Linked DNA regions of Neodiprion lecontei. The protein of the gene in region 2 purifies or fractionates together with the protein of the main gene of each other region. This does not show direct contact. Links are inferred from orthologs where the notes say so. Each region holds a gene or a part of one and is shown on either strand. Other genes may lie near its edges.

What was found.
Region 1: the proteins of DNA polymerase delta catalytic subunit (region 2) and MMS19 nucleotide excision repair protein homolog purify together in Homo sapiens (affinity purification with western blotting; 3 studies listed by BioGRID and IntAct, with this or other methods). This does not show direct contact. The link is inferred for Neodiprion lecontei from reciprocal best matches to the Homo sapiens genes POLD1 and MMS19.
Region 3: the proteins of DNA polymerase delta catalytic subunit (region 2) and DNA polymerase delta subunit 3 purify together in Homo sapiens (co-immunoprecipitation; 8 studies listed by BioGRID and IntAct, with this or other methods). This does not show direct contact. The link is inferred for Neodiprion lecontei from reciprocal best matches to the Homo sapiens genes POLD1 and POLD3.

What each region holds. Positions count from the first base shown.
Region 1 is NC_060265.1:27,433,158-27,441,308, forward strand, and holds MMS19 nucleotide excision repair protein homolog, read right to left. Parts: upstream 5,532-8,151; 5' UTR 5,490-5,531; coding exon 5,393-5,489; intron 5,101-5,392; coding exon 4,862-5,100; intron 4,739-4,861; coding exon 4,406-4,738; intron 4,292-4,405; coding exon 3,697-4,291; intron 3,616-3,696; coding exon 3,334-3,615; intron 3,236-3,333; coding exon 2,514-3,235; intron 2,391-2,513; coding exon 2,133-2,390; intron 1,990-2,132; coding exon 1,825-1,989; intron 1,654-1,824; coding exon 1,453-1,653; 3' UTR 818-1,452; downstream 1-817. Other genes in the region: MORN repeat-containing protein 4 homolog, read right to left, coding at 1-84, 189-378, 551-560; ubiquitin domain-containing protein 1, read left to right, coding at 6,400-6,481, 7,273-7,632, 7,737-7,855, 8,062-8,151. UniProt on the Homo sapiens protein: Key component of the cytosolic iron-sulfur protein assembly (CIA) complex, a multiprotein complex that mediates the incorporation of iron-sulfur cluster into apoproteins specifically involved in DNA metabolism and genomic integrity.
Region 2 is NC_060265.1:933,634-939,612, forward strand, and holds the start of DNA polymerase delta catalytic subunit, read right to left. Parts: upstream 3,371-5,979; 5' UTR 3,154-3,370; coding exon 3,104-3,153; intron 2,852-3,103; coding exon 2,746-2,851; intron 2,346-2,745; coding exon 2,313-2,345; intron 2,306-2,312; exon of another isoform or gene 2,039-2,305; coding exon of another isoform or gene 1,874-2,038; intron 1,596-1,873; coding exon 1,484-1,595; intron 1,178-1,483; coding exon 1,005-1,177; intron 941-1,004; coding exon 678-940; intron 578-677; coding exon 351-577; intron 274-350; coding exon 107-273; intron 4-106; coding exon 1-3. UniProt on the Homo sapiens protein: As the catalytic component of the trimeric (Pol-delta3 complex) and tetrameric DNA polymerase delta complexes (Pol-delta4 complex), plays a crucial role in high fidelity genome replication, including in lagging strand synthesis, and repair.
Region 3 is NC_060262.1:4,435,851-4,441,506, forward strand, and holds DNA polymerase delta subunit 3, read right to left. Parts: upstream 2,895-5,656; 5' UTR 2,803-2,894; coding exon 2,734-2,802; intron 2,439-2,733; exon of another isoform or gene 2,425-2,438; coding exon 982-2,424; 3' UTR 924-981; downstream 1-923. Other genes in the region: general transcription factor IIF subunit 2, read right to left, coding at 1-92; WD repeat-containing protein 91, read left to right, coding at 3,136-3,255, 3,525-3,789, 3,876-3,991, 4,076-4,263, 4,360-4,672, 4,756-4,877, 4,956-5,622. UniProt on the Homo sapiens protein: Accessory component of both the DNA polymerase delta complex and the DNA polymerase zeta complex.

The DNA.
Region 1 (8,151 bases), about 26 Mb from region 2:
AACTCTCCTTCAAACTTCATGCCATCGGCGCGCCAGAATACTCCGTGTCCATGAAACCAGCCCTGCATGAATTCTCCTTCATACCTACACATTGATAAACGATGATGATAATTTTGAGTACCTAATTGGTACGCTAATTTTTAACAACTCAAACTTTTAGCGATTTTTTACATCAAAGCAAAACTTACTTTGCTCCATCTGGAAATACAATAACACCGAGCCCAGAACACAAGCCATTTTGAAAGGCACCGTCATAGCGAGTTCCATCAACCAATGCCAATGATCCAGCTCCATGCTTCAAACCCCTGCCATTCCAATCACCAACGTACCTTGTACCATCATCATATTTGTAAGCACCGTTCTTGGCCACACCACCTGCTGGATACATTTTGCTATCATATTCAGATTAGGTTTCTAAATTTGTGAAAAATTTTGTTGATAGGGCAATGATGAATAGTTTAAATATAAATATTTTTTTTACAGTTCTACTTTGTAGACGGGGAATAATTTTTTTAAAAATATAACAGACGAAATATCGGGCACCTCTTACCGTCAACCATTGTATCGGCACACTAAACACATTAAATGTGGCTTCCACAAGTAATCCAATTACTCCAGATCAATGCCTGATTCAATTAGGTATAGTTGGAGCAGATTGTTATTTTATAGATTCTGTACCTACGAAGTTTTATTGAAAATTGTAAAGAAATATAATGAAAACACAAATCTATCGTTTAACCATGCCACCTGATTTCAACCGTAAAAAATAGTTACTTTATTAACTGACATAATAAACGCATACTTGAGAACAATCTCAAATTTTCAGAAATCACATAATTTATTTACATACCTACACTTAATAGGACATTTGTAAAATCGACATGTGCATATATTCCATATCTTTAGCAAGTACCTACTTCTCTTCAACACACTGTACAACCTTTATGTTAAAACATGAGACAGTATCAATATTTTTTTATTCTTAAAAACTTTTGGGCGTTTTAGCAATACTTCAAATGCAAAGTACTCCAGTTAAATATGCAACAGGAAATCACTTTGATTTGCGGTTGTTAGAATGAATAAAAATTGTGAAATACTTCAAAGAAGCAATAGGTCATTATTCTATGATTTCATGCAATAAATCATATTATTACGTGATAAGTCTTTCGCCTGTACCTTACGGACGATTGAAGGTAACATTGGATACTATAGTACAGATCAATATCTATAGAATTTCCCAAAAATAAAAGACAGTAACGGCAGAAACTGTCTGAAATCACACATTGGCATCAGCTACCACGATAAAGGTCTTCAGGGAAGACTCGCCTGAGGAAGCAATTTTCATTGCATTCTATCTAGACTGTTCAGGCAAAGTTCAATTTTCCTTTCTTAAATTCATTTGTGTAAATGAAACTATAATAATGAATTGAACAATCGGCTATTCCGTCTGAGTTAAGATTGTTTCGGTTCTCCTGGTGCCCCAACAAGATACCAGCGAGTTCTTGCTTTCACAGCGATTGACCTGACCAAACGTTTTCGATCGTCGATCGCCACAGCTAATCGCTCCAAGACATCCGTTTTAAAAGGTAGAATCAAGACAGTCGGGTAGTTTGCATAATGCAACAAACATTCCAATGCAGCAGTTCTGACTTTCTGAAAAATAAAACAATAGTCGAAGTTTGAAAACTAGCATGGATTTTAGGTAAAACTGGATACTTGTATTCAGGGTAAGGTACTCTGATGAAACCCATTGGAATAAGATCAAATTTTTTTCAAGTTAAAACTTAAGCACAATTATGAAAATTTTCTGCGAATCATTATTACCATTTCCCTACGTTTCGTCAGACTCAGTAATTTGGGAATAAAGTGTTGTGCTTGCTCATGGAAGATCTTGTGCCCTGTGTCCAGCAAAACTTTCAGGGTCACTAGTGTCGACAGAATTAACTCTGAGCTGTCCAGTGCCATGGATTCAATTAGGAGTGGGATAAGCTTCAAAAAAAAAAAGATTCAAACACATTGAAATAACAGTATGATGTATCGCAGTGTAAATTCATTAATTATCACGCGTGTGATAAATTGGTAAACTCTATAATCATTATTGTTATATTAAAATTAAATAAAATATATATTACCGGCTCTAAATGCATGAGCAATAGTTCCATTGGAACTTCCTCGATTAAATGTGTTAGAGCCATTAGGTAGTTTTCTCTTGATTGTGCATCAAAGTCGTTGTTTTTTTGAATGACATTCTGAAATATCCTCTGTTTGTAGAATAATTTAACATTGCAGAAGTTCTCTTCAGTCACAGTATCCTCAAACCTATCAGATAGAGTTTTAAAACCATTTGCAACATTGTGACCCATTTCCATGTCCTTCAGCAAATTTATGTGCTATAAGAAACATAAAATCTTGATTAGTACATAATTTTCATTCTCCGATGTAGAAAATATGCAATATATCATGTGACATAAAATGGTACAAAGTAAAGTTGAATTACGTCTTCTTATACTTACGAAATCAAGATACTCTTGAGAATTTTGGCTTCCTCTGACAACCAAAGCTTTCGTCAGCCACGTATTCAATAAGATGGCTGACTCTTTGAGCTCGGTATTCGAATCGTGTTCCAAAATGTTTTTGATACGGTCCCTCAGCATATTTAAAACTATTAGGAAATTTTTGTCTTCGGTTTGTTTATTTATCAATACTGATATCAATTTACTTGATACTTCTTTAGAACTCGAACTGACGCTGTTGATTGCAAGGTGTAATAGATTTTTTAACAAGTTTACCTTATTAGCAATATCAACATTTCTTTGCAATGGTGTTAAAAGTCCTTCCAATACAATCACATTGCTTTCGGAAAGTTTTTCACTAAGAATTGAAACATATTTATTTACAATTTGTTGTTGGTCCTTCACATCCAACTTTCTAACTATAGATCGACAAATCGATGCAATTAAATTTAATTTTTGAGTGGAGCAGCCACTTGTATCTGCTGATACCAATAACTCAACAATGTTACAATTTTTATACAAAAAATGTTGTATACTGAATGTATCGCTTCTCCCAGCTACAAGTTTTCGCAAACAACACAGTGCTGCGATACTCTTTTCCAATTTATTAGACATAGCTACCACTACTACATTAGGTAGGATTTGTGGACCTAATTCTGGTATTTTTGCTACAGCACATAAGGCTTGCAATCGGTGAGTAAATACCGTATTATCAGTGTTTGCTGGAAATAATTTTAATTCATTAGTCTTATCCAACTGAAGAAATTAATTATAAGAAAAGTGGTGTACGTTAATTTGCTAATGAATATCTCAAGCTTACAGTCATTGATAGCTAGTTGGTTTATAACGGTACCCAGAATTTCGTTTGGATAAATTTTAGCAAAAGTTGACAGACATATGTGGCATGTGTTCTTTAGTTGATTATTTCCATCATCTACTGCCATACAAATTTTTTCATACAGAAGTTTTCTGGCCACGTCACTCAACGACGATTTCAGTATTGCCAATCCAGAGAAAGTCTTCAATTTTAGCTCAATATTATCAGTATTTAAGGCATTCAAGTACAATGTTGGTATATCTGTCCAAGCAAGTTCGGGCACACCTGTAAAATTTGGTAACGTAACAGATTAAAAATTGTGCATTGTTTTACTAAGTTTGATGTGAGCTGAATGCATTGACATACTATTTATTACAAATCTCTGCTCTTCGCATATTGCCATCAAACTATTCAAACTTTCTGTTAAGGTAACTCTATCCGAGTAAGAAGTCTTTGTTGAATATTGACCAAGGCACAATGGTATAAAGGTTTTCAAAACTTGGGCACAAGCTAATTTATTTGCCTTAGCGACTGCTTCCAACAATTTTTCAGCCGGCCAATAAAGGCTCAATTGAACGTCACACAGTGATGATTTTGTATCTGTGATAACTTTTTCGATGAAACTGTCTCGTATTACATCATCTGTGGACAACACTTTAACTAATTCAGTTATAGTTTCTAATCCAGCATTTCTCATCTCAATATCCCCGCCTGGGAAGACTTCTTTTCGTATAATTGGCCATAATTCAGCAAGGTGTGGTTGCAATCTTGAGGCTCCATAGGTAGAAGCACCTTTGCGTAAAAGATACAATGAATCTAGTTTTGCTAGTCTTAAGCTCGAGTCTAATCTCTCGATTATGAGAGGTATGCAAAATTCGGCAAATTCTGGAGAGGCGTAAAGGCAAGGTGCTAGGGCGTACGCCAAATCATCACGAGTAACTGTTTGAGCCTCTGATGCAGACTGTAAAATTGATTGAAAAATTTACAAGATGAAAAAATGTCGAATAATTATAAAACAGGAATTAAAATTTCATACTAACCAAAAATTGAAAATTTCATGATTAGGGCTACTTACGGAATTGAAATCAACTGGGAAATAACAAGCAATAACTTCAAACATTTCCTCTGTCAAATGGCCCAATGGAAATTCTTGAATAAAATTTGGAAGCATGTCAAATAACAGCATCAAATTTCTTGGATCTCGTTCGCCGTCTATAGATGAAATTACTCCGTATATAAAATCAGGCCCCATGGAACGTAAGGCATCTTTTCTATTTTGTAGGAGTGTTTGGAATATCAAATATATCAACTTTCGAATAGGCTGCAGCTGTGACTGACAATGTACATGCTGAAACATGAGGTTCAACAATCTAGCAGGCGAATCTTGAGGTAAACGGCTCATCTGTACCTGTAACATTTTGAAAGTAGTGAAAATTAGTAATCACTGGTTCATATTGTGAATTATAGAGGAAAATTGATGACTGAGAATTGATATTTATTTTAAAACATAATATTGAATATAAGAGCTCACGATAGTCAGGACACCCTGTAAAACCGATGGAATAACTTCATGCTGATCCTTCATCCGATCACAGTAAAAATTTGTGATAAAATTTAGCTCATTTTCATTTAGAAAATCTTTCGACAAGTGCTTCAGGGTTGTTGACAACGCAAGCGTTCCCTGAGCTCTCGAAGTAACATTTTTGTCAGTGAGAAACGGAGCGAGTTCCTCAACGAAAATCACAAGCTTCAATTTTCCATATTCTATATCTGAAAATATGAAATGAGAGATGTATCGATCGCAGAGTAGATACTTCGCAGGTGAAAACATGAGGTTTGATCGACGGATAATTATTTACTGAACAAAATATATGGGACCAACGAAAAATTGAATATTCTTCATGTCAGCTGATCATTTTGAAAATTTTGATGGAATGCATTTTCCGAAATGAAGACAGAGCGATAGAGACAGAAGATAACCTCAGTCCCAACAAGTTTGTTTTGCCTGATATTTCAAGGTCAGCAGGCGCGTCATTAGTCAAGTAATTATGATAATGCATACCTGAGGCTATATCTTGACATTCCTTAATCAAGTCGTTATCGTTCTTTAAAGCTGCCGATAACTTCTCGGTGAGTGAGGAGCTCGCTGAAACCTCCATATTTCACCCTGAATTTTTCAATACCGTGAGTGATCAGTGTGTAGAGTTACCAACACAAAAGGCGATCGCCGAATAATTACGCACTATTCGACATCGCGGCATGGCCCTGTAAAATATCGTGCACAGTTGATGATTTTTAGAATGCGTACATGAATACGAAAACATCTACAAATTCTTAAATATGACGTCTAATTTATCAAAGTCCTTGACGATTCAAGTTTCTATTGATATCTTATGAATTCTAATAATAACATTACATGCGAAAAATCGCCGCAGGTTATTATCTCTGACTTCCAGCATATACATATGCGTATGAGGAAACCTTCGTGAAGATAAAATAGAAAGAGAGAGAAAAAAAGAAACGTCTGAAGTTGAAAAACAATTAATTACTTCGTGATTTCAATATAATAATACAGTCACCCCCTAACCACGATTTATTTTGTCATTCTTTAAATTATCGTGCTTTCTTTTTACATCCACATATATAATTTTCTTTTGATAACTGTTAAATCTTAACGGGTTAAATTTAATAAACAGAAAGCAGTAATTGTAGCCTATTAAATTTAACGACACGGCCAGTCGAAGGTCCGCGTTTCTACGGAGTAATTTACAATCGTGTTTTAAAAAAAAACTATTCTTTTCGCTTATTTTTATTATTATTTATTACTATCATCTTGTGCAACCCTCCCGTCACGTCGTCGTCTCTCTTCATAGACCATATACGTCATTCACTGGAAACAACCCAGGCAGGCGTCCTAGGAGTTCGAGCTGCAAGAGATTTTTTAACAAGGTTTTGTGTGATGGCAGCGCGCGTTGTGGCGGAATGATAAAATAGGTAAAGATGGACGAAAATGGCATGTAAGGTGTTGGTAAATTCCAGTGAAATGTTTGGTTATTTTCGCCGCCTAGGATGGGAGGCTGCATAGGCATAACAAGGGCTAGGAACGGCTCTGTTGACGACACGTCGGGCAACTCTACGAGGACAAATTCAGGTGAGAAACAATATTTTCAACAAACACCAACTAACCTTGGAAATCATGTACACCTAATATGGGTCACCGCATGAAAACTGTAATTTATTCAAAATGCAATTTAGGACTCGATCGCGGTCTCTTACGTTCACATTTTTTTTTTTTTTTAATTTTCAATTTTTTTCCCCAATCCAGAATACCGACTCGTAACATTATGTATATTGCGCGCGATGAAATCACGAAGGAATAAAAAAAAGAAGCAGAAAGAAAGTTTGAAAATAAAAAAAAATTTCGATACTCCTCATTTACGATGTAGCTTTCGTTTTTAGTCACTTCTACCTGTGATTTTAATTTCTATTCGCTGATGTAGGTACATGTTCGAACCTTGTCAAGCTATGACCTAAATAGTAAAACAAATGTCAGACCTCGATCCACGCTACCAAACATAGCCTCAATGGCTCAATAGATTTTCTTTCAATAAAAAGACTAAGTGTTGAACTATTTTTTATGCCAGATTGAAACCTATTCACAAAGCTGCAAGTTCTTTTATTTTTTATTGTTGTATTAGTTATTCCAATCAATAGATCGAGCTATTTGTTGATATCTGTTAAAAAATACAGGTATATAATCATTATTTTACGATGTTTTTCAGCCTATCTGTATTCACCTCAGATAAAATTGTAAAGCAAATGTCAAACCTCGTGCTTTGCGTAATTTAAAAAAAGTTTTGCGTGGTATTTGTAATCCTTCTTTCTGTCACAGATGAAGTTAAAAATATTAACTATGCCATTTATTTTTACAATTTCATGCAGGTAATTCAAGAAAAAACCATCCACTTTGTCACGAAGTGATCAGATGGAAGTCGGATGTTCCTTTGACCGAGGGTCAACTCAGAAGCAAGAGAGATGAATTTTGGGATACCGCGCCAGCTTTTGACGGCCGCAAAGAAATATGGGACGCCTTAAGGGCTGGCGCGACCGCGGCTGAGGCCCAAGACTATCAGTTAGCACAGGCCATTTTGGACGGAGCTAATGTCTCGGTGCCTAATGGATATTTAACTGAGTGTTACGATGAATTGGGAACTAGATATCAGGTTCCGATTTACTGCTTGTCATATCCAATAAATATTGTTAAAGAAGACAGCGGTAGAGATTCGCCAGCTGACTGTTCTGGTAAGATTTACTGAAATATCAAGTATATCTCTAGTTTATAGTGAAAACTGGTATGCTCTGTATCTTCTTAAACTAACTATTTGTTTCTTTTTTCTCTGCCACAGAGCCCGTCGACGGAGGCACAGAAATGACTTTGAAACTTAGGCTGTCTACAACCCTAGGAGATGTTAAATTACCCGTTTATAGTAAAGACACGATAGGAGCTGCCAAGAAAAAGTTGCAGGTTTGATTATTATTATGTGCACTGTTTTTGCAATTTACGATACAATCACATTGCTGTCATTGATTAACAGAATATACAATAATTGCTAATTCTCAATTCACTCTGTCAAATCAGCTTTTCAATTTCGCTTAACGTTCAGGCTTGTCTTTGCTTTAATTTAATTTTTTTTCACCACGATTGTATTTAATTATTCTTTCACTGCACAGAGTCAAGAAGGTCTGGAACCATCGAGGCAAAGGTGGTTTTTTGGCGGAAAACTACTTGGAGACAAAATGCACATAGAAGAAGCTAAGATT
Region 2 (5,979 bases):
TTTCTTCGGCAAAGAAATCATTCCATAAATCCAGAATTACGTTGACAGTTTACTGATTTTCGAATATATCCGCAAAGAATTTCCAAGTCTATTTTACGAAACTTACCTCCAGCATGACTGCTTCCTTTTGAAAACTAAGTACCTGAGAACCGATAATTGGCGCGCAAGTATCCAATGTGAATACATTCCGCAAAAAGGGTTCGGTGTCTCCATGTCTTATCAACATGTTCGCAATCTGAATAACTGGGTCGTGATTTGCCTCAGGGAAAATTCCTGCCAAACAAATCCGTGCAGGTGTAAATTAATAATTTCAGTCAAAATGCAGCATCTGTTTTACGCTGTATACGAACCTTTGCGTCCAGCGCATTCAATATCAAAACTTAGTATTCTGAAGGGCGCAACTTTGGCCCATTCTCCTTCTGGTGGATGAGCAATGAAATTGTCCCAGGCAACGTCAACTTCCAATTGACAACGGCTAGTCAAAGGCAAGTCATTCCCTGGATGGCCTCTTAATTTCCATTTACCAGGGACTAGCTTGATCCATGAACAGCCTACCACGTGCGTATCCACCATAAATCTGTATCATGAGCATTGACGGATCAGTATGATTGGCTTTCTTTAATTTAAGTCACGTGCAGCGTCTTTAACTATAATCATAACAGCCATTGTATGCGAACCTGATATCAAACTCGATGTTAGTTTCAAAGGCTTGGTACACGTGATCGCTGAATGTTGGAAAGATCATTTCTTTCTCCAACAAGCGTTTACACGGAGCCACAAGCTTTGGCAGGGCGACCGTGATTTTTATAAAAGGCACCAAGTCCTCGCCTGCATATCCGTACAGCGATTGTTTGTAGATTAATTCTACTACCAGTACAGCTTCTGTAACTTTATCATTTTTCGATCTCATATCTGTTAATACAGCTCGGTTCAAAGCGTCCTGTAATGGTGGGGATGTCGTATTGATTAAAAGATGGTCAGTCAACGAGAACGAAGCATTTTACCTTGAATGGTTTGCAGTGAGAGTTATTGAATTTTTCTGGCGCAGTGACAAAAAAATAGGAACAAAACCCATGCACGTGACAGCATACAGAGTTTCCTTCCATGGTGACTCCGTACATTCTCATTATTGCTACTGGTCCAATTTTGCTTCCTGGCATTCCAGCCAGCGGCTGCCCTAGAGAAATATTTCTTGCTGAATTTTCAGTCGAGGAATCGTAAAACGATCGTAATGAGGGAAATGGGTAATAAGTTACTGAACACGCAAGTCTTCAGATAGGCATTCACCAGGTCTGGGGATGAAGTGGAATTGGCTATTTGCAATATACCTGTACGAATGTATTTTTTACTTCTTGGAAGTCACGAGCATGTAAAATAATGCGAGCTTCACGTTGTTTGAAACTGTGTAACGTTTGACACAATAGTTTTGGCTGGTGTATCGTTGAATAAAGTGTAAACGTGATATTTTTCAAGAGCAATTTACCTATATAATGGTCAACTTCTATTTGCTGGAAAGTGAGCGAGTCTGTTTGAGGATTGAATGGCCGAGGGTCTGGCCGATTCCATTTGGAACAGGTGTTTTCTTGATCTGGGCCCTAAACGAGAGTAGATTTTATGAATGTTTGCATACTTTCGAAAAATATGGAGGATGAGACATTTTTTTAAAAGAACATTTCAACTGCCCAGAAACATTTAGTGACAGGCCAAATGTGCAAAATAATACTTAGGCATGAAATTTTTGCGACTATTAACGTGTACGACGTTTTGATCAAATATAAATGAGAATAGTCCAAAATTACGTACAAATTTTGCAACTATTAACGTGTATGATGTTTTGATCATATATAAATGACAATAGTCCAAAAATACGTACAAATCGTCGCAACATGTTAGCAGTTCTAGTGTTGCAGCCTTGGTAACAAAATGCGTACTGCCACATATGATTAGTGAAATGCTTGTGCATATCATTTGTTACTTTATCTATGATTATCATTATGATTGCTGTTGTTGTTATTATTACTATTATTATTATTATCATTATGATTATCACTATGAAATAAGATACCAGTCAACCGCACGTGCAAAAAGGTGCAAGCAGGTGCGTTGAGGGATTGAGGAAGCATATTCAACGAAGAATAATGGGATAATAGTTTTAATACTCAAATCCGTGAATATTCTTTGTAAAAAAGAGTTTTGTGAAGTAAACAGTTAAATCGATGAAGAATGAATTTCCTGGCGAAAACAAAGCATGATTAGACAGCAACAAGACATGTATATAGCCAATACAGAGCTCAAGTCTTAGGAGAACTTACTCTCACTCGCATTTGAGGATCTGCAGGATCAGGCTAAAAGAGTAAATTATGGATATTTAGACAAAAGATAATAATTTTACAAGTTTGCCACCTTGTTTAGGTACTTTTGCTTTAACACGACTATTTATTTGACGTTAATTTAAATTTGGGGATCATTCTCCGAGTAACAATTATAATATTTATTTAACATTTTGCACGTTTTGTGAACGTTGAATATCTTTAGCACTGTTTGATACCATAATTCCAAATTGGTGACCTTACTTACTTTTAATTTAATATAAAGACTGTGCACAGTGCATCAGATTTAAATTGACTAGGAAATTCAAGATGGTAATAAGGACTTTTATCAATTTTGTTAAATCAATCACAGCAAGTATTGCCAGACATGTAACGGAATTTTTTGCATTCTGTTATGTAGTTCAGTTGTGTATACCTCCCCAGAGGCCTGAGACGGGTCTTGAAACTCGTCGTCCATTTGTTCCATGATGGCAAGTTCCGCTTCAAAAGATCCTGGGTATTCGTCATCATCATCATCTACCCTGTTAAAGAAAAATGAGTGAAATAACGTTACTTAAATGTATGGACTGAAATAGGATCTAAATTCAAGAAATGGGTAAGAGAATTTTACTTCTGCTTAAAAATGATTTTGTATTGGAAAAATTAACTACGGAGCTGCAAAATTTTTATACTATCTGTGTGATAAACGCTTGTCGGTAGATTCAGCCTTTTAAAATTAGAGTGATGTCAAGCAGGATAACCTAAAAGTTAATAGTGCGTCAATATCTGCTTGCCTGAATTTATTTTTCTTGGACGGAGGGCCGGAAAAAGGCCGCTTATTCATTGTAAATCTTGATGGAATTGGTCGTTGACAAAATAAATTCTCTTCCAGAAACTTTGGTATTCGATCGGTACGCACACGTTTCGAATGGCGCGAAAACTGACGATGGTTACGTTGAAATCGAATGCAATTCTACGACAGCTAGCGCCATCTTTGACAACCGTTTTCGTCTCCTGCAACCATCTAGTGACTGCAAATTCAATCTCGGTCAAATCACCGTCGCAGGATATGGAAGCGTGGTCGAAAAGCAAAAAAAGTAAGGAGAATTTGATAACAATCAGCGATACGGCTCAGGAAGCACATATTGCAGGTTGTGAATCTTTGTTCTTAAGATTTTACAATATCAGGGTCATGTAACAATCTTACTCTTACCGACCGAATCAACTTCGATAAACGCACAGTTTCGTTGACTGAATACAGACACATGCATGTTCAGTCAACGATATATAGATTGATCGAAAAAAAAAGTTTGCACAGGCCTTCAAAATTCGTGGGAGGCAGCTCGCGGTAGAACGAAACAATTACCGATTAATTTCATCCTTTTTGATTAGTCCTTCGCAACTAAATTCAGGGAGACAAGATAAAAAGTCGTTATCGATACATACTTTCAAAATAGAAAACAACTGAACATTCGAATTCAACTTCAGTTTGCGCCGTACTTCATGCATGAATATTTTTACATCGAGGTGAGGCGCTCGTCACGGAGAGATAAAAAAAATCAATACATACCTGAGCAGACTTTAGAGCGACCGCACGTTGAATTATAACACGAATAACGTAATCACTAGGTGATTAGCTGTTTATGTACCTATAATATCTTTTAATCTTTCGGGTGATTTCATAATAAGCGGTTGATTACGGAGGCCTACTCTCCCGGTCGCCGAAATGTTGTTCTCGTGTTCTCTTTATTGCCATTTCTTGTTTCAGGATAAAAATATGTCTTCTTCCAGGTCGTAGAGCGGCGATGTGCAATTATCGTCCACGTTCGTCTTTCATCGCCATTTTGATTCACTTTGGTAAAAAACGACGATGTCGGGATGCCAACGGGAAAGGCCACACACGCAACGAACAGGTAAAATAGTTCACAGAATTGCATTTTAAGTTCAAAATCGATCGATTCGGCGTCCCTACGCCGACGGTGCTTGGCGGTAGCCTGTTGCCGTAGAATTTAACCCTCGGTTTAACCCACGTTCTGCAGTGTAACGTGAATACTTATGTTCCGAATAATAAAAGTTTCGAGAATCGGTCGTTTCAGGCTGCAGTTTAGTTTAGTCGGAATGTACATTTGAAATTGCAATTTTTACATATCACAAGATTCTTTTTCTAATCGTTGGGTGGGCAGGGGCGGCAAGAGGGGGGGGGGGGGGAGGTTATTGACAATCTAAATCAAGAATTTCTACCAGATTTGATTTGGTTTTTTGTCTACGATCGATATTTTCCGACTTGAATTCAAGATGGCGGCCGAAGCCAATGCAGAATGTAGTCGAAATTCTGGATCTAGAGTACTACCCATGACCCGCCCCCCCGCCCCCCTCCACCGTCAAACATTAAAAAAATAAAATTGTGATATCTAAAAATTCAGGGTAACATTCCTCGCGATGACTTGCTCACTATTACTGCTTGTACCGCAGGTAAGTCTATTCATGGTTAGTCAGACGCTGCGGACCAGTGATTCACGTCAGTCATAAGTCAGACCCCGAATATTCCGGGACCTCGGTATCGCGTCCAACGTACCGGCTCGTTATCGCCGTATGTTGTACGGTGTGAGTCTTTTGGCATAAACGCAATGACCGTTATAAATTGCGATTGTCCTGTTCGTAGGCGGGAGGTACGAACCATGTCTGAACAGTGGCACACCGTGTTGTATGATCCTGGTGAAAATGATTGCTGCAATCTTCCCACGAATTTTTAGGGAAATTGAGATATTTTGTAAGATCTTGTATAAAAAATTTTTATCGTACAAAATTGTATACATGCATAATTTCTCATTAAAACTTGTAGATCGTCATGAAAATTTGTGTTGTTTCGATAAAAAATGTACAAAATACTGCAATTTCTAGCGAAGATTGACATATCTTTGCGAAAAACTATGCATATTTACAATTTGGTACGAAGTAACACGAGATGTTTCAACTTCTATGAAAATTCGTTGTCTGGTAGAAATTTTTACCAGGGGGGTCCGAATTTCTCAGCGAGATTTTTCCGCATTCCGCACAGCACAGTCGACGGATCGTACGGCATCAGTCGGCGATGCACTGTTTTATTGAACTGGCAGTACATTCGGTTCTCGTATTTGTTCAATCCTTGAAAACTAACTCCAGGGCATTATAATTAGCTGGCAATAAAATATAGATGAGTTACGACAGCTGTTCGTGGCTCTCGACAAAGTCTTGTGACGTTGGCTTAACCGACAGTGATATCACTGGTACTCAACCGCTTGCGTACTTTAAAACGATAAGCTTCACATAACAGTCATACCGGCGTACGTTTGATTTTTTTGCTGCAGAAACGTCTGATGGTAAAGTAAAAATTATGCAAATTGAATAAGGAAAAGTGCGACACTCTCACTCTACCAAAAATGACCATATCTTAAATCACACAATGTTACGATCGAAATCAAAATATAATTTATTGCATAATTTAATCGTCAGATGTCCTAGATAAAAAATCATATAGTCAATTGTTATATGATTTTTGATCTAGTATACATATAGCTTGACGATTCGTGCCTTCGTAATTTGCTAGTGATTTTTTCCTACAATGTTTTTTCTCGAATTTTTAAGATAAGTCGTGCAATAAATGACGCGTTGATTTAGGTCATCGCATCTC
Region 3 (5,656 bases), on a different chromosome or scaffold from region 2:
GCAATATATTTAGGAACCTTAACCAACCATACTCCTCGTCCTGCATTACTCAAATCTAATTCTCGGTCTGTGTGAGGAGGCGGTGCAGACATGATACCTGAAAATAAAATATTTCAGTTTCCATTCTCGCATTCATCCTGGCAATTATGGGTCGAACGCTAGTTTCTGTCACCTTTAACCTAATTACTTATTGCATATTGGATACAAACATTAACTATCTCAAACCTAACCAAACTGACTATTAAAGTGGCCAGATTTCAATATTGGCACTGCTTACCTTGTTGCAAATGGCCTCAATAATTATAGACTTTCAGTATTTAACGAGGCGAAATGAAGGGTAATACTCCGTTATACTTATCTTCTGTAAATAACTGTTTAAATAGAGGTAAAATAAATTGTACATACAACAGAAACACTTGCTTCTGATAGTCTGTTGTAAAAATTGAAAGGACTACCTTTTACGAAATTCTGGGGAAATTTAGTTATTATATTTGGCAGCAGTGAGAACGGCTTACCAGAAGAGTCAACGCCGGGCTTTTACACGTATTCAAATATCGCGGTATTATTGTAAACCCCTACCTAAACATATCATGCGCATTTATTAACAAAAATAACAGATTTGTTCTTCGGTATGTACAGTTCTTGTGATTGCACAACTTCTACGTTCTGGATTCGTGAAAAAGAAGAAAGAAAAAAAAAAAGGGGTTTGATCAGGTAACAGGAAAAAAAAGATTACGACAGAAACAAATATAATAGACGTAAAATTTATAACTTTCCATAATTTGATTGTAAAGAAAGCATCGCTAATTCCTTATTCCTTTCCTTAATACGAATCAAAAATATTCTATCTTTATTGCGAGTAATTTCATATTTTCCCGCTGAAATTCAGTAATGTACAGTATAGTTCACGTCTATGACTTGCATATATTCAACGAATATTTTAATTCATCATTACAGTTACATTTTCCACGTATTAGTTAACTACGACTTCTTGAAGAAATTAAGCAGCGATACTTGCTTCCGCTTGTTAGCAGTCTTTGCTGCAACATCAGCGGTAGAAGGTTTTGCAGCCTCTACCGGCATTTCCTCTTCCTTATCTGAACAACTTTCGTAAACGTATTCTTTTTGAGTGACAAAATACCCATCTTCATCGACAAACGTTTTATCGACCAATTTCCGAACTTTGCGCCTCCCGCCTTCACACTTGACCAGAGGTGGCGAAGGAGAACTTTTAACTCTTTCAACAACTTGCGGTGGTTCTTCAGAACTATCAGGTTCCTCAATATCATCCCTAGTCTCGCTGTCATCACTTGATTCGTCACTAGATATCACAACTATACGTTTTCGTTTCTTATTAGTATTCTCGCCCTTTGAAGAAGTCTTGCGTTTTTTTCCTCGTGAAGAAGATGCTACTTTTTTTTTATCGCCAGTTTTCCCAGAGCTGAGATTTTTCACCGCCGATTCTTGTTTGCTAACTTTTTCAGTCTGTGGTGATTTTTCTTCAAACTTTTCTACGTTGGCCTTTTTCGAATCGCTGCAACTCTCCACCTGTACTTTTGCTTCCTTGTCGCTGGTACTTGGAGGCTTTTTCTTTGCTTCAAACCATGCATTCTTTTTCGGTAAATTAGTTTTCGGAGATTTTTCTTTGTCTTCATTAAGTTTAGGCTTTTTTGAATCGCTAATATTCTCCGGATTTTCTTTTGCCTCCTTGTTGTCCGAACTAATAGGTTTCTTCTTCTCCTCGAACCAGTTATTCTTATGGGGTGAAGTAGTTGTCAAACTACTGCTTGACGCAACAGGTTTACTCTTCACACCTTTCACAGATGTCTTCTCCTTGCTTTGCTTATCTATGGCCTTAGCAAAAAAATTGTTGAAGGCAGTTTTCTGTGTTTTTGCACTCGAATTAGCCGCTGCTGTTTTATTTGTGGTCGATTTAGCACCGGACTCCTTGACATTCTTGGCCTGATCAGTAAGCTTCGACTCGGTATTCGCATTTGCCCGAACTTTCGGAGCTGTAATCTGAGTATTGTTTTTCATCTGTTTATTCGCTAACAAGGCGCTACCCCAACGAAGAACTTCCATCTCATGATCAGACCTGAGAACAGACTGAGAAGAGTGGACAGCGCTCAATTGAGAATCGCCTTTGTCAGTAATGGCGAGTAGCTCTATCTCAGGGAGAGTTTTTTGCAAGCTGTAAATATGCTCGGATATTATTTTTTCAAATTTCTCCTTCGCAGATGCCATATGATCCTCTTTGACGACCTCGACTCGCATCTCTCGCTCCTTGACGTATCCCATGAGCAGGAAAGTCGCACTGATTACATGATTTTTCTGCACTCGTTGAGTTTCCCAGTACTCGAATAACAGCTGCTTTGACAAATTCACGTGGATGCCTAACTCCTTGCTCAACCACTTGTAAGTAACCTGTTGACAAATATCTATAATCAAAAATGAGATGATGTTTCAGAAAGAAGGGTTGACGTCAAAAAGCAGTGACAAGAGCAGACAACTTGGAGTGAGATAAATCTCACTTTAACATTTATTGCACTTAAGAAGATATGATCTACGAAATAATGTTTCATATCGTTAGAATTGAAATACGAATGTCAAACTGTAAAATAAACATAAGAATATGTTCTAGACTCAGCTAGGTTAGATTGTAAGTTAACAAGAGCAAATGACAGTAATTTAAATGTATTGTAATATCGCTGAATAATTATCTATAATAATTACTAATTTGTCGTCGTCGTTAATGTAGCCCGCAAGAGCCTCCAAGTAAATATCAATTTGTTTCCGAATCATTTTGTAAAAATGTTGTACGTTTTGTATACTCCGTTATTGGCTTTACGTGAATCCCGCGACAATTTTACTTGCGATACAATTTGAACTAGGGAATTTTTATGACCGACGTTGTGCACACTGATTAAAAACCGCGAGCGGAAAGCGGGCAAAGCAAATTTGTAGCGCTATGTTAGGTTCCATGGTTGCCAAATTAGAGATAATTCGTATGCATCGGAGGGATGCATTCTGCATTGTTGCCACCAAGTGGAAAATGGCTGGGTTATAACAACATAGAGCTGTCATTGTCTCGAATATTGAACAGTTGAAACAAAAAAACTTTCTTATTTATTGAAAATGTCTCATGTCCAGTATGTAGATGAACTCGTTAAGGAATACTTGTTATTCAGAGGGTTTAGTCAGACGTTAAAAGCCTTCGATAACGATCTTAAAGCTGAAAAGGAGAAGGGATTTAGAGTAAGTGATGCATGACGTTTTGCCCCTCTACAATTATTTAACAATAACAGACGAAAACTATCGCATCAAATCATCGATATCTTCACACATACGTATCAGATTAGGATCTTATACAATTATCAATGAGAGATCAAAACCCAAAACGAGATGCAAAACATTCAAATTGCTGCATATATTTAGCGATGAATATATTGCTATGAAATATCACAAATATATACTTTTTCTTTCTCTTCCATTGCTCTTTATAGAAGCAAAATTATTATTTACAGGTTGACAAAATAGTTGATCAGCTGACACAGTACATATACAACTACGATCTAAATGCACTGAGAGAATTATGGGGCCATTTGGATTTGAGAATGTTTTCTCGTCTTGAGAATCATTTCACACCTGGTATAAGAAAGCTGGAAAATGCTGTATTGAAAATGTACCTGGTTAACGCGGCGGTTAACAACAAACAGGATCGTATCCAAGAGTTTTTTATTAAAATGGCACCGGAGCTCCAGGGTCATAGCGAATGGAAGGAATGGTTCGGTAAGAAAAGTGTTTAGCTTTAGTTTTCAGTATTACCAATAGATCATTGACTCGTTATTCACGAAACGAAATTTGTGCATCCACAGCGCTGCCATTTATTAAAAATCCCGAAGATAATCCTGTTTACTCGGTTCACTTCAGCAGGCAGTGGCAAGACACCATGCTCGTTTCGTTGCACAATTTTTTAGCTACAATATTCCAAGTGAGTATTATTCAAAGGATGTGATAAGAGAAGTCATACAAATCAAATCAAAACGTAGATTGTATCTATTTTTTTTTGTCTCAGTGTATGCCGCAGCCGACGTTGCTAGCTATAGATGAAGATTCGGTAAGACTTAAGCGTCTCCAGGAGGAAAATGACACTTTGAAACAGAGACTTGCTGATGCGGTCAAACCAGAGACAATATCGGATGTTAATGCAGGACCTGTACCTCAACATCCACCAATCATGGATGATTTTTATATCATAGCTCAGTAAGAACCAAGATCTCGACATCTGAATCCAACAGAAATAATCTCAAAAATCGGTACACAAGTGCGTAACGATTAAATGATTTTCCTCTATTTCAGAGAATCACCTTTAACAGAGAATCCGAAGACGCTGAAAAACTTGATAAGAAATATAGGTGGCAGCTCTAGTCCCGTACTTGGTAGAAAACCTATAGTGAGTGTTAAAAAACAGATGGAAACTGAACAGATCACCAAGAGACTAAACACAAAATGTAGAATAAATTCGCTAAGCAAGTCAGAAGCTGTTGCCAAGAGAAGTATCAGCTGTGATTCAAGATTGAACAGTTCTAGGAAGAGAGATTCTCCCATAGACGCGGCATTTGAGAGAAAAAATAAAGAGAAAATCGACGCCAGCTACATTCTTCTTAGTCAGGTGAGATTGATGCACAGAAAATAATCGAATGCGAGTGATTTTAAATATTCTTTACTGTCTAAAATGTTCCTTCGTTTTAACAGGAAGAATACACTGAACACAAAACGTCAATTATTCAATGTAAGAGCAACGCAAGTGGTTCTTACGTCGCGACTGGTGACGCAGATGGAGTAATTAAAATATGGACACCGATTCCGTCCCCAAAGTAATCAAGAAAATGCAATATCGTTACAATTATAGCATACATTGCTTATATTTTGCCAACCGACAATTCATTTTCCAGAACAGTCGCCACTTTCACATCAACAACGGTAAATTCCAACAATGCCATAACTGCTCTAGATTGGATATCAAAGAACGAAAGATACTTTTTGCACGGAGACAATAACGGAATAATTCAATTGCACGATACAAGGGATAGTAAAAGATTATGGGAAATCCATCACGAAGGTTCCCGAATTGTAACGTTGATATGTAATCCAGCCGAATCTACTTTTGTCTGTTCGGTGCAAGGTTCGGTGTCAGATTCCAGTGAAGGGAAACTACTGCTCTACGATATAAAAACAAGGAAACTAGAAAGAACTCTACCATTAGACCAAAACTTGACTGCCCTCTGTTCCACGTTCAATCACAATGGACAGCTATTGATAACTGGTCTATCTAACGGTAATATCGTTATGCACGACTTGAGGAGGAACGAAATAATAGATAATTTTAACTGCCATTCAAGTCCAGTGATTGACATCGAGCTGATAAACGACTTCACGAATATTTGCGCCCAAAGCGAAGACGGTAGATTATGTCAAAGAAATTTAAATCAGACAAACAAAAATACGTGGGAGATGAAAATTAAGGTGGAAAAAAATTCAGTACATGGAAAGCTATTCGCTTTTGACCAAAATGGGAGTCACATGCTGATTTGCACACAATCGGGCGGTAACATTTACAAGGTAAATAAAGTTTTACATCTCGGTGAATTTTTTC